Oryctolagus cuniculus: one gene and its partners. Each later gene encodes a partner of the first gene's protein in a complex. Links are inferred from orthologs where the notes say so. Each region holds a gene or a part of one and is shown on either strand. Other genes may lie near its edges.

Region 1 (4,534 bases):
CAGGAACAGGAGCTTAGAAATGGGGGTGAGTGGAGGGGGATGAGGTTAGCGGGCTGATGGGAGCAAATCTTCACGCATTACCACCAGCCACTTCATGGCCTGTGGCTGACCACTAAGCTACCCCATGGCCGGGGCTTCTCTGTGTGTGGGTGGTGGTGGGCAGTGGCCTGGGGTGAAGCCCTGGTAGGAAGGGGGAATTTCTGGGTCCCCCCCACCAGGCCAGAGGTAGAGCCTGAAGCAGAGACCCTCTCTGCCTTTCAGTAGACAGTGGGAACCTACATGGGCGCTCACAGCCCCGCACGCAGTCGGGGCCCAAGGGAAACCAGGCTGCAGGCAGAGTCTGGGCAGAGCTGTCCCGCGTTCTTTGTCCTGAACTCCCCAAGGCAGGAGGGCCAGGACCCGCAGGGCAATGCTGGGTCTTCAGGGCCCAACTTCAAGTAGGTGTCCCGTTGCCCCGCCCTCACCTGTGTTGACACCGCAGCCCCAGCAGGCCCTTAAACTTGACCCTCTGTCGTCCCAAAGCCCACGGGCCCCTCCTCCGGGAGGAGGAGATAGGGGCGTGGCCTTGGGGCATGGGCGGGGCCAGGGCGCCCAGTCTGGGGATCTCAGGATTCGCCCCTCCTCTTTCCTGTCTCTCCTCCACCCCAGGGACTGCCAGCTCCCTGCACACCGCCCCTTCGGGGGCTCGCTCTCACCCCACCCTGCGCCCCGGCTTCCTCTGGGATGCTGAGGCGGGCCCGACCCCTCCGGGGTCCGCACCCCTAGGCCCTCAAGCCCCGCTTGTCTCCTGCTTCCCAGACGCCCCCACCGAAGCCCCCAGCCCGGCCCTGCGCCGCCTCGCCCCGCGTTTCCCCCTCGCTGCGCTCTCTGAGCCCCGTCCCCGTCCCTCCTTCCGAAATACTTGCCCTCCTGCCCTCACTTTCTCACACAGAGGCAAACAAAGACCCACATACCCAGAAATAGCCTCGCGCGGAGCGGAGCGCGGCGCAGGCCGCGTCCCGGCCCCACGCACGCGCGCAGGCCTGGCGGCTCCCGCGCAGCGAGGCCCCCGGGCGAGGCGTCCGTCCGTGCGCCCTCGTCAACACCCGCAGCCGCCGCGCCGGGCCGCAGGGTGCGGACGCCGGCCGCCAGACAAGGGCACAACACACACACACACACACACACACACACAGCCGTGCGCGCAGGGAGCGCCTCCTCCCCGGCACACCCGGCGCGGCCGGCCTCGGCTCCCCCCCGGATTCCTGCCCGCGAATGTTTCCCTACTTGGCCTGCCAGGTCTCTGGGGAAAGGGCCTCAGAAATGCAGCCGGAGCCTCTCGGGGAGGGAAGAAAGTTGGAACTGACTGTTCCCTGCCTGGCCCTGCCGGCGAATTCCCTAACCGAGCAGCTATTTGTGGCGAGAGCCCGGGTGGCCGGCGAGCCCCCCGCCAGCTCCCCGCGCGGCCCTCGGGCGGCTCCGGGCTGCAAGCGCCGCTACCCTGCGCCCAGGCGGGGCCGGGCTCGCCGCGCACCTCGCCGCTTATCTGCGCTGTTTGGACAGCGCGGGCTGCAAAGGCCGGCGTCCCCGTCCCCGCCGAGTCAACAGGCAGACCCCGGGCCGCCGGACTATTTCTGTCTTATCAGTGCAGGAATGCGGCAGCCGCGGCGGCGGCGGCGGCAGCGGCGGCGGGCGGGCGGCGGCGGCGGCGGCGTGGGCCGTGGGCCGTCAGGGCAGCCCTGAAGGGGCCCCCTCCCCACTCCGCTCGAGTAGAAGTGTGAGAGAGCCCAGCAGGACTCAGAGGGGAGAGTTGGAGGAAAAAAAAGGCAGAAAAGGGAAAGAAAGAGGAAGAGAGAGAGAGAGTGAGAGGCGCCGCTGAGCCCACCCCGATGGCCGCGGACGAAGTTGCCGGAGGGGCGCGCAAAGCCACGAAAAGCAAACTTTTTGAGTTTCTGGTCCATGGGGTGGTGAGTGGGGGAAAGTTAGCGGGGGAGGGTGAGCGAGCTGGCTCGGGCTGAATGGAGGGATGGCCGGGAGGGGCCGGGAGGGCGCTCCCGCGCGCCCACCCCTCCGGCGGGGGCGCCGCGGCCACAGCCCAGCGCCGGGACCGTGCCGGCGCCCTGGCGTGCCAACACGTCGTCAGGCGGCGGGCCGGGGATGGGCGCGCGCGGCGGGGAAGGCAGGCGACTGCGCGGGCTCTTGTCAGGGGCGGGCGTGGGACTGGGGGACTCCCCCCACCCAGGTGGGGGTCCCCTTCTGTGGCCGACATGTTGTCTGGGTTCCCCAGCGGGCCCAGGTGTTACCCCTTCCCCGGGGGTGGGGGCGGGGGACGGGGACGCGGCGCAGCCCTGTTGGGTTGTCTGTTCACATCCGTTGGGACGGTGTCACTCTGTTTCCAGAGCGTGGAGCAGGTGACCCTGGAGGCACTGTGGGCGCGAAAGCCCTCTGGCTGAGCAACCTCTGTATCCTGGCAGGAGGGCACTGGGGCATTTTCGGCGTAGCCCCTGCCATCAGGGTCAGGGAGAGGCTCCCTCTAGGGACAGACTCCAGGTGGAAGGAGTCCGAGCGTCCCCTTGGCAGACGCCTGTCCTTAATATCTCCAAGGTGTGAAGAAAGGGCCGGAGTCGGGGACGTGAGGCCTAGGGATCCCAGGGACAGGGCAGCCCCAGAGGCACGTGGGAAGCCCCAGGCAGCCTCAGCAACCCGAGGCAGGGCACGGAAGAGGCCTGAGCTGGGTGGCTCGGGGGCCACGCTGGGTGTGGAGACGCGAGAGGGGACGACGTCAGGTTCACTGCGGCCACATTTGGCCGTGACCCCCCAGGAGGGCACCTTCTTGGTGAGGGAGGCCAGAGTCCCTGAATCTTGGCCTGTTGTGGGGGTGGTGCTGGTGGCTGGCACAGCTCCCTGGGGGCCCTGGAAGCCTCCCAGCAGAGCAGGCAGTATCCCTGGCCTTGACAGAGAGGGAGCCCAGCTGATAAAGCCAAGGGGGTTCCTGGGTCAGCCTGGCCTCCAGCGCTGGGCATCTCTGGGGTCGACTTTCCAGGGCCTGCATGTCCACCAGCTGCATCACCGGTCCTAGCCTTGCTGCTGCGGGGAGTTCCTTTGAAAAGGCCCAGCTAGCAGGGAGAGAGGCTCGACATGGGTCTCTCTCTCTCTCTCTCTCTCTCTCTATATATATATATATATGGCCAACTTAATGCTTCAGTTCTTAGGTGGCTCGGCGCCCCACCATCCCCACTCCCAGTGCCCCATCTAGGCTGGCGGAGAATGGTCACCAGCTAGCTCCATTCTGGGTTGCCACCCTGGAAGCATGAGTGACAGGGTCAGGTGGGGTGGGGGGAGGCAGACACATGGTCGGGCAGGTTTCACTGCTGGAAAGATGGACAGAGACAGCTGCTGGCTGGGAGTGGGAGGGCTTTAGGGGCAAAGTCAGGGGCAGCATCGGGGCGTCTCCTTGGGCCTAGGGTGAGATAATGGAGTGGATAAATGACAACAGGGGCCCCTTGCTCCCCAAGATTCCTGCTTTTCCCAGTCCCCATCCCACCCACTCCCCTGCTGCTACACAAGCCCCTGAAACCCTCATATCCCTCCTGAACTCTGGACAAGTGGCAGTAGCACTTCACTCATTTGCATCTCATTTACACCCCATCCAACCACCTAGGGGCACATGACCCACCTCATCTCCCTCTCCACCACCCTCTTTGAAACCTGGCTTCACTGGGGTGGGGGTGAGCAGTGGAGGAAGCCTGCTGGGTGTGAAGCCTTGGCTGATGGCTGATGGGTGCGGGTGGACACGCTGCTTCCTTTGACCTGGCCCAGGCCCCCTGGTAGCTCACCTCCAGCCCAGCTCCCCCTCCTCCCAATCAGAATCCTGGCAGGCTGTGACGTCAGCCCCTCAGGTGCCTTTGCCCTTGCTCTGCCTTCAGCCTTCACCCGGGGAGCAAATCTTGGGGTCCAGCTTAGTTGCTGAAGCCTCTGGGTGTGGAGTCAGCTGGAGGGGATGGAGTTTGGGATGCAGAGGTCCAAAAGCAGGGCGTGGAGAGAGGAGGGGGCAGCTGAGGAGGAGCCGGTGCAAGGCAGAACAGCTGGAGGAGTGGAGACCAAGAGGGAGGGAGCCGTAAGGAAAGTCAGAGCAGGGAGCTCAGCCCCTAACTTCAACGAAGCCGCAAACGGCAAAACGCTGCGGCCCTCAGGAACCCGGAGCCCTTCAGGTGTTGTCCTAGCCAAGATGAGCTGCGTGACCTTGGCGAGGTCGCCGTTCTCCTTGAGCCACAGTTGCCTCGTCTGTCAAGTGGGAATGAGAGGACCTGTTCACTGAGTCTGGCAGAGGCGCGTGAGGGTGTGAACCTCCTTTGGAAGGTGGAAAGGCGCCATTGCCAGTTACTGTGCGTTTTTGCGGTACCTTCCGCAGCTCCAGGCTCGGCAATGCCCTGGACAATTGCCTGGCTTCAGTTAGCTTCCTGCAGCGACACGCCAAGCCCCCTCCGCCGAAGCCGCACCGATCCGGTGCCTCTGCCCCTCCCACCCAGCGCTCGGCGCTCAGGGTCACCAGCCGGGG
Region 2 (4,574 bases), on another chromosome or scaffold:
GGAAGGAAGACCTTTCTCTCTGTCTCTCCCTCTCACTGTCTGTAACTCTACCTGTCAAATAAATAAATAATCTTAAAAAAAAAAAAAAAAAAGAAACCTAGGGACATTCTTAGGGCCCAGTGCTTACAGAATCCAGGTCCTTGATTCTGGCATGGGACTGGATATCAGCAGCCTATGGTCAGGGACAGCAGAGCTTGGAGGGAACACAGAGGTCACATCTCACTGGCTGAGAAGAGATGTGGCTCCACCCCCAGCTCCGCCCCCGCTGGGCTATGTGGCCAAGACAGCACCCTGCCTCCATGTGGGGCAACCCCTGCAAAACGCAGGGCTTGGACTCGTGACTGGTAAGGTTTCTTCTGACTGGGAAAGTTCCTGACTCTGAGACGGCCGGTGGAGATGGAGGTTGAAGGGGAGTGGAACTGACTTGGGAGGAAGTGAGGCAACATTTCTCAGTGTTCAGCAGACAGCATGCAGAGGATCAGCATGAACAGAATCTCTTTCACCCCTTCAAACCCCCACCCCCAGCATTTGGAAGATGAAGAGATACAGGCTATGGGAGCTTAGCGGGCTCACGCAGTTCATGCAGGCCTCACATTATAGAGAAGTCAGTGACTGGCCTGTGGTCACTTGAGAAAATGTCAATCTCCTAGCTGCTGGGTCAGCTCCTTCCCTCCCCTCCAGCTCACTCCTCCCACTGACACCTGCAGGGCTCCAGTCTGGGGAGCCAGACCTGGACTCGGAACCCACCGCGGGTATGCGCAATGCCACTGTCACCAGGAAGTAATGAATGAGCCAGCTCAGCCCATCCTTTGGTTGAGGGAAGAGCTGGGTCTTTTCCACAAGGGGCAACCAGTGAGCAGAGAACCCTCGGGGACATGCCGCAGTCACACTACCCTCTTCCTGTGCCATTTCTGTTCTCACAGCTCCCAAACCCCAAACAAGCAGGTGGGAGTGCAGAAGTGCCCCAACACATTATATTCACGTGTGCATATGCACATGCACACAGCCGACACATTATGTTCACATGTGCATATGTACATGCACACACACACACACACGGCCACACTGGCCAGCACAGGCTCAGAGTCTGACTCAGGCAGTCAGAGCTGCTGCTTCACTTCTGCTATCCAAACCTGCTATGCTGGTAGTGCTGGGAGCCCAGAAGAACCCAGGGCCTACCAGAAACTGGACACCGTGATCATTGCCTCCCAGGGAGAACAGGCGGTTGAGCAGAGAGGGAAGGGTAAGGACAGGCCAGCTGAGTGCCTGTGTGTGCATGTGTGCACGTGTGTAGGTGGAAGGCCCAGGAGAGGAAAAGAGGCCATGAGGGAGACCAGGGTGGGAAGACACGGGGAAGAGATGGAGACACACCCCCTCGGGTCGCGCCCTCTCTGTCTTCCCTTCTACTCCCGGGAGACGTCCTTCAGGCCTAGGTGTGACAGAAACCTTGTGATGGTGGCACTCCCCCCAACACACCCCACAGCCCATTTGAAAAGCTACGGCAGCAGGGTCCCCATCAGTCACCCTGTGGGATCCTGGTCTCGGGGAGGACAAGGTCTCCCTCGTTCTCCTACTCTCCTCTCTGCCGCCCATTGCTTAGGGCTGGTCTTCCTGGGGTCCTCCCCGCCGCCGAGCGCGAAGGTGTCTGCGCCTTTAAAGCGGCGGCCCCCGGCCGGGTTATTGTCTCGCCTCGCAGCCAATCGCCGGAGCCGTTGGGGGCGGGGGACCCGGCCTCCCGATTGGCCGCCGCGCGCCCCGCCCGCCCGGGATCCCGGGAGCTGTCCGGCCGCCGCGGTGCTGATCCCGCCGCCGCCCACGGGCCGCGAGCCGCACCGAGGGGCACTATGAGCGGGGGCGTCTACGGCGGAGGTGAGCCGGTCCCGGGCCTCCGGGGCCTCGCGCGCAGCCCTGCGCCCCGTATCCGCGCCACCCAAGCTCGGGGCACCCCGGGGCCTGTCACCTCGGCGCTCGAGCGAGTCCGACCCCAGGTTTGGGTCCCGTGCCACCCCTACTTTCTGTCTTCCCGGGACGCCCCAGGCGCGCCGGGCCCAGCCTCTCCACTATCCAGCCCTTCTCCGCCCGACCCCTGGCTCCGTCCTTCCCAGCCCCGAGAGTGGCCTGAACAAGGCCACCGGGTAGGAGGGAACTCTGGCGGCTTGACCCCCACTCCAAGGCCCCCACTCGGACTGTGGCTCTGCCCTGTCCCCCTTCCTCTCGGATCTGTCCGCGAGGACAGAGTTTGGGGAAGGTCTCCTCACCTGCTTGTCTCCCCGCACAGATGAGGTGGGGGCGCTGGTCTTCGACATTGGCTCCTTCTCGGTCCGCGCCGGGTATGCTGGGGAGGACTGTCCCAAGGTGAGACTTTCAGATCTCTTCCCAAATCCTCCCCAGGCTCGCCACTAACCCAGGGCTCTCCCAGCCGAGCCCACACGCTCTGCTGAGCAAGTGTGGGAGAAGAGCCAGGGGCGGGCTGAGGACCCTGCCCTGGGGCTGAACGGGTAACCGGGTGATCTTCCTTTCTCTGCCCATGCTGCCCCCTCCCACCCAGGCTGACTTCCCCACCACGGTGGGGCTGCTGGCCGCGGAGGAGGGGGGCGGGCTGGAGCTGGAGGGGGAGAAAGAGAAGAAGGGGAAGATCTTCCACATTGACACCAATGCCCTGCACGTGCCTCGGGATGGAGCGGAGGTCATGTCGCCCCTCAAGAACGGCATGAGTAAGGGCCCCCCCCCCCGACCCTGAGTCAGACCAGGAGCCCACTCCCAGCCCGTGGGACTCTGTCTCACAGCCACGGAGTCCTCCTCACAACTGTCCAAGTCCCAGGGACCTCCTCAGAGCCCCCTGTAGCTGCCTGGTTCCCAGCCCAGGAGCCCCAAATTCCCGGGAGTGGGGAAGGGGCTTTTCCTCTGGAGTTGAACTCCCCCTCCCCTGGACTTGGCGTCTCTCCCTGCTTCCTTTCCCGTCGCTGACCCCTCCCCGCCTCACCTGTGTCTTTCTGGCCCCAGTTGAGGACTGGGAGTGCTTCCGAGCCATCCTGGATCACACCTACAGCAAACACGTCAAGTCTGAGCCAAACCTGCACCCCGTGCTCATGTCAGAGGCCCCGGTGAGTGCCCTGGGGCCCCAGCACAGTCTTCCCACCCCTTACCTGTCCTTTCTCAGACAGTCCTTCCAGCCTTGTCATCTTGGGCCACCTGTCTTCCTCTTGCTCTACCTCTTTCTCTTCCTGCTCTATAAGCCCCTCTCCTCTCCAGTTCTTTTTTAATCCTTTAACTTGAAAATAGTTGTAGTACATATGGTCGATTTGCTTTGTAAAACATGTTAAGAAGAAACACTGCAGTTCTTGCCGCCTCTTCCATTTCCCCTTTTCCAAATGCCATTGCTTTTCTCCCTGTTATCTTTTTTTTTTTTTTTTTTGTATTTCTTTCCGTATCTCCCAATATCACACTTACATTGCTGTTTGCAGGTTTTCTATATTAGGCATCATCTAAGAATTTCCTACTAGAAAAAAGAGCATTGAGCTCTCTCCTCCTCTAGCCTATATCACACATACTTCTCATTCCCCACCTTTAAGTACAGTTCTGGCTTAGACTTCCTGAAAGATCAGTATTCACTATTTAGCCTCCTGTTACTATGTATGCTAATCAGGGCTGAGCTGGGGAATCCATGATCGCTTTTCTGTTTCTTGAGTGGCTTTAAACAATCTGATTTTAGCTCTCCTTTCACCCCCACGTCCAGAGCCAGCTGACAGCGCCCATTTCTAGTTCTCTCAGGGTTCCAAGCTCAGTACAGGTTGTTCCTGGCTTTTCCCAGTACTGCCTTACAGCATTTGTAAATCTGTTAAGTCAGTTACTACTCACCGATCTCATCCTTAACTTTCAAAGTTTGTTGCTGGTTGCTCTTTTCTTATTTTCTTTTTTAGATTTTTTTTTTTTTTTTTGGACAGGCAGAGTTAGACAGTGTGAGAGAGAGACAGAGAGGAGAAAGGTCTTCCTTCTGTTGGTTCACCCCACAAATGGCCGCTGCGGCCGGCACACTGCGCTGATCCGAAGCCAGGAACCAGGTGCTTCCTCCTGGTCTCCCATGCGGATGCAGGGCCCTAGAACCTGGGCCATTCTCCACTGCACTCCTGGGCCACAGCAGGGAGCTGGACTGGAAGAGGAGCAACCGGGACAGAACTGGCACCCCAACCGGGACTAGAACCAGGTGTGCCGGCGCCACAGGCGGAGGATTAGCCTAGTGAGCCGCAGCACCAGCCACTCTTTTCTTCTTTTCACAACCTGAGGCACTACTCTTTCTCAGGTGAAATTCACATGACATAAAATTCACCTTTTTAAGTCAATCATTGAGGGGCAGGCATTTGGCATAGTGGTTACGACGCCACTTGGGATGCCTGCATCCTACATCAGAGTGCCTGGGTACAAGTCGCAGCTCTGCTTCTGATTCCGGCTTCCTGTTAGTGTGCACCCCTGGGAGGCAGCAAGTGATGACTCAGTTATTTGGATCCCTGTCCCCCGTGTGGAAGACCTGGATTGAGTTCCTGGCTTCTGGCTTCAGCCTGGCCCAGTCTTGGCTG
Region 3 (4,230 bases), on another chromosome or scaffold:
ATGAATCATGCCTGCACATAGTGTGCTCCACAAATACCACTGAGCACGAAGCAGGCACAGCTCTGTCCTGAGTTAATCCTATTTCGTACCTGTTTTTCAGATGAGGAGTCAGGTGGTCACAGGGAAGTGACCTTACATGCCCTCAGCCCCTGGGGACTGCTGGGCCAGGCCACTAGGGAAGGATTCATGCACCTGGACTTTGATCCCTCACCTCCTGGGTCACACACACACACACACACATGCACACACACACACACTCAATCGACCCTAAGGAATGCCTAGAAGGTGAGCTGACACACTAAGGCACATTCTCCCGTTTCTCTCTCTCTCTGTCTCTCTCTCCACACACACACACACACACACACGCACACGCAAACGCATCCCCCCTTCAAGAGCACCCTAGTTTGAGAGGCTGAGGGAAATAAACACGCCTGCACACCCCTTGTCCACTAGGGGGCGCTCCAGCGCACAGACGGGGCGGGCCAGTCTTCACCTCCTTTGTCAATTGGTCCCCTCCTCCTTGAGCGAGATCCACTCAAGGCCTCCGAAACTCGTGGTCACCTACACACACACACACTTCTAGTCCCTCCATAAACTCTCCTCCATCTAAGCCAGGTAGGGCCTTGACCCGCCCCTCCACCAGCCGCCGACGGGAGGGGTCGGGTGTCTGACTCACATCTGCTCAGAGGACTAAGTGGGACGCGCTGGCACCCCAAGCTCACTCTGGCCTCCAGGCTCCTTTAGTGGCCACCAGACACCTGACCCACCATGAGCCCTGCCCCCCAGACCCAGGCTCAGCACTCTTGCTCCACACACCTGCAGCCACAGCCTGACCAGCCGCCTGCGGCCCCGACACAGCACACTCAGTTTGACCCAGTGTGGCCTGGGTGTAGAGACCAGGTCACCTCCCAGAGGTCCTGGCCCACCAGCGGGATCTGAGCCCACAGACCCAGGCTGGCCCTTGCCTGACCTCAGTCACCCTCAGACCCCTCCCCTCCCACGAGCTCCCAGCCCTAAGTGGGTGCTGGCCCCAGGAGAAATCGTTACTGACCAGTACTGATGAACCAGTGCTGACTGGACTAATCATCACTGCGTTTAGCCAGGGTCAGGCTCCGCACCGATGGCTTCCCAGTGATCACCGTGTTTAAGCCTCGCTAGGCCTCACTCCCGGGAGTTAAGAACCGCTGTAATCCCCAGTTCACAGATGGTAACACTGAGGCGCGTGGGGGTGGGGGAGAATTAATGGCTTGAGCTGGGTTCTGAACTCCCCAGGGGAAAGGCACTGGCCTGGCCCCTGTGGCTGACCTTGGCCTCCAGGCACCTGCAAGGAGTGGCACCCTATTCCTAGTATTCCTCCGAGGGCCTGAGCCAGGGCCAGAGACAGGGCCCTGAGGGCCTGTGGATCCCATGACTGCGCAGGAGCCCCATCCCTGCCTGCCAGTTTGGGGGTGTCCCTCTTGGGTCTGTCTGTGTGCATGCCTTGGGGCAGGAGAGGAACAAGCGGTTGCCACCCCCACGCACCACCTCGCACTGACTCTGCTCGCACAGCAGGTGCGTGCTGCCAAAGTCCCTGCCCCTGCACAAACCCTGCTCGGCCACCTGGCACCCCCAACCCGGAAACCAGGGGCCAACAACTGGAGGGCCAGTGGTCCAGCCACCATACAGAGTCCTCATTAGGAGGGGTGCACTCGCCCACCCCCAGCTCTCCGCGCTCAAGGTCAAGGCAGCCAGCGCTGGGGCTTGGGGGCAGGGTGGGGGAGGTAGCCCCAGCCCCTTTGTGCGGCGCCGCCAGGCGCTCGCCCTCCGCCTCCTCCACCAGGCCCGGGAGGAGGGGGAGGGGAGAGAGGGCGGGAGCGGCCGCACGCCTGCCACTCAGAGCTGCTGTCACCGCCTGGGAAAGGGGGTGGGGGGCGCCAGGACCCAGGAGTCCGGGATCCCGAGGAGGGAACCAGAGAGAGGTGGAGAGGGCGAGGGACAGCAGGCGCCAGGCTCGGACCCGGGCGTCCTTATCCCAAGCCACGGGGCCGAGAGGAAGCCGGAGGGAGGCGGGCGTGGAGAAGGCAGGGGTTCCCCCGAGACGGAGGCGCAGCCCTCCCGAGGGGAGCCGAGACGCTCGGGCTGGAGGTGCACGGGCCGGGAGAGAAGGGAAGCCGCGGCCCCAGGCGATCGTGGCGTCGGGGCTTCTGGGTGCCGGGGACCCGGGGAGCAAAGGGGACTCGACCGGGGGCCCCCGACATCCGAGCCCCCACCCCGAGGCCAGCAGCGCCGGGGTCGCGGAGAAGGCGGAGGAGGTGTAGAGAAAGATGCTCGGGCGAGGAGCGAGGGGGTGGTGGGAACCCCGGAGACTCAGGTCCGGACTTGGGCGTTCGCGCGTCCAGCCCGCTCCGGGGCGGGCCCGCCGCCCCCAGAGACACCGCGCAGCAGATGGAGGCGGGGAGGGAAGCCCCCACCCCCAGCCCGCGCCACATTCCTTCACTGACAGCGACAAAGAAGAGGCGCCCCCGCGACCCAGGAGGGGCTCCCGTGCCCAGCCCCCGGAGGGGCGGCAAAGGGTGACAGTCCTCAGAGGCACGGGGGCGCGTGGGGGGACCCCCATTCCACTACCATCCGCGCGCTGGGTCCCCCTCCCCAGCCCCAGGGAGGGCGGAGGAAGGGCTGGGGTGCGGGGACTCCGGACCCGGGTCGGGACAGCGGGGACACTCACGACTTGAGCGGGTTCTGAATGGCGGTAGCCATGGCCCGCTCGGCTGGGCCGCCTCCGGCCCGGGGCGCCGCTGCCGCCGCGCGCGGGCCCAGCCCGGCCTGCGCCGCCCGCTCTGCCGCCCAGCGCGCTACGATTTCATTCATTCTTGGGGCTGCGGCGCGAGCGGAGCGGGGCGGGCCGGGGGCGGGGCTCGGCCAATCCCCGCGCCTCCCGGCGCACGACGGGACGTGGAGTCTAGGGGCGCGCGGCGGCGCCCGAGGGCGCCCCTGCCCGGACTACACGTCCCAGGGGGCGTCAGGAGGACCGCGCGCCCATTGGCTGCCGGGGATACAGGGCGGGGCGGGGCTCCTCCCGGAGCATCCTCTCCCCCTCCCCGGGGGGTGCTCTGTTCCCAGCCCGGGCTCTCCATTCCCGGGTGGTTCTGAGTCTCCCTGGGGTCTGTGGATGTCCCCAGGATCTGCGGCGGATTCTTGTCTGAGTCTACTTATCGGGGCGTCTCTTCGGGGTAAGCCAGTCTCTGACAACATGGGGGCTCATCCAACGCCTTTGTTCGTGTATTGACTACATGTGCCAGGCACTGGGAATGCAGCAGCGACCAAAGTCAAGTCGTTACTCTCAGGAAGCTGACGTTCTAGTGGAGAAAGACGATTTTAAAATAATAATAATAAAGGGATCTTTTCAGAAAATGCTGAGTGCTATAACAGAATTAAAATAGATTAGTTTGGGGGCTGGCGCTGTGGTGTAGCAGGTAAAGCCACCGCCTGCAGTGCCGGCATCCCATATGGGCGCCGGTTCAAGTCCCGGCTGCTCCACTCCTGTCCAGCTCTCGGCTACGGCCTGGGATAGCAGTAGAAGATGGCCCAAGTCCTTGGGTCCCAGCACCCACGTGGGAGACCCGGAAGAAGCTCCTGGCTCCTGGCTTCGGATCGGCGCAGCTCCAGCCATTGCAGCCATCTGGGGAGTAAACCAGTGGATGGAAGACCTCTCTCTCTCTGTCTCTGCCTCTCTATAACTCTGCTTTTCAAATAAATAAATAAATCTTCTTTAAAAAAAATAGTTTGGTTTGGAGGAGTGGCTGCACAGAGCGGGTGACTTTTGAGTTGAGCCCTGAAAAGTTGCCAGCCACGCATGACAAGTGGAAGAGCACAGAGGCCCTGAGGTGGGCACAGGTGCTTTGTGCAGAGCTGAGTAGGAAGACGTAGCTGGGGCGGGGGGGGGGAGGACCCACCTCCTGAAGGACCATGTGGGCAGCTGATTCTCTCCTAAGTGCAATCAATCATCCCCTACTCTCCTCTTCTTTCTCACATGCGCACGCACACACACACACCCAAGCCCACCAGCAAATCCTGACCTCTCTACAATTCACAGGGCAGGTCCAGCAACCCCCCATCCCTGTCCAGCATCGTCCCTGCATGGATCATGGTGGCGGCTCCATCGCTGCTCTCCCACTGCCCCCCAGTCTGCTCCCACGGCGGCAGACAGCTGTCTAAAACACAGACGCTCAGGCTGAAATCTCCCCTGGCTGC

Evidence for each region.
Region 2: SMARCD3 (region 1) and ACTL6B share a complex: the UniProt entries of both Homo sapiens proteins name them as parts of the BAF complex. The link is inferred for Oryctolagus cuniculus from reciprocal best matches to the Homo sapiens genes SMARCD3 and ACTL6B.
Region 3: SMARCD3 (region 1) and DPF1 share a complex: the UniProt entries of both Homo sapiens proteins name them as parts of the neuron-specific chromatin remodeling complex. The link is inferred for Oryctolagus cuniculus from reciprocal best matches to the Homo sapiens genes SMARCD3 and DPF1.

What each region holds. Positions count from the first base shown.
Region 1 is NC_091438.1:22,579,448-22,583,981, forward strand, and holds the start of SMARCD3 (SWI/SNF-related matrix-associated actin-dependent regulator of chromatin subfamily D member 3), read left to right. Parts: upstream 1-1,671; 5' UTR 1,672-1,865; coding exon 1,866-1,943; intron 1,944-4,534. UniProt on the Homo sapiens protein: Involved in transcriptional activation and repression of select genes by chromatin remodeling (alteration of DNA-nucleosome topology).
Region 2 is NC_091450.1:42,839,417-42,843,990, reverse strand, and holds the start of ACTL6B (actin-like protein 6B), read left to right. Parts: upstream 1-1,723; 5' UTR 1,724-1,844; coding exon 1,845-1,869; intron 1,870-2,278; coding exon 2,279-2,355; intron 2,356-2,548; coding exon 2,549-2,714; intron 2,715-3,003; coding exon 3,004-3,104; intron 3,105-4,574. UniProt on the Homo sapiens protein: Involved in transcriptional activation and repression of select genes by chromatin remodeling (alteration of DNA-nucleosome topology).
Region 3 is NC_091449.1:16,351,949-16,356,178, reverse strand, and holds the start of DPF1 (zinc finger protein neuro-d4), read right to left. Parts: upstream 2,852-4,230; 5' UTR 2,848-2,851; coding exon 2,705-2,847; intron 1-2,704. UniProt on the Homo sapiens protein: May have an important role in developing neurons by participating in regulation of cell survival, possibly as a neurospecific transcription factor. Belongs to the neuron-specific chromatin remodeling complex (nBAF complex).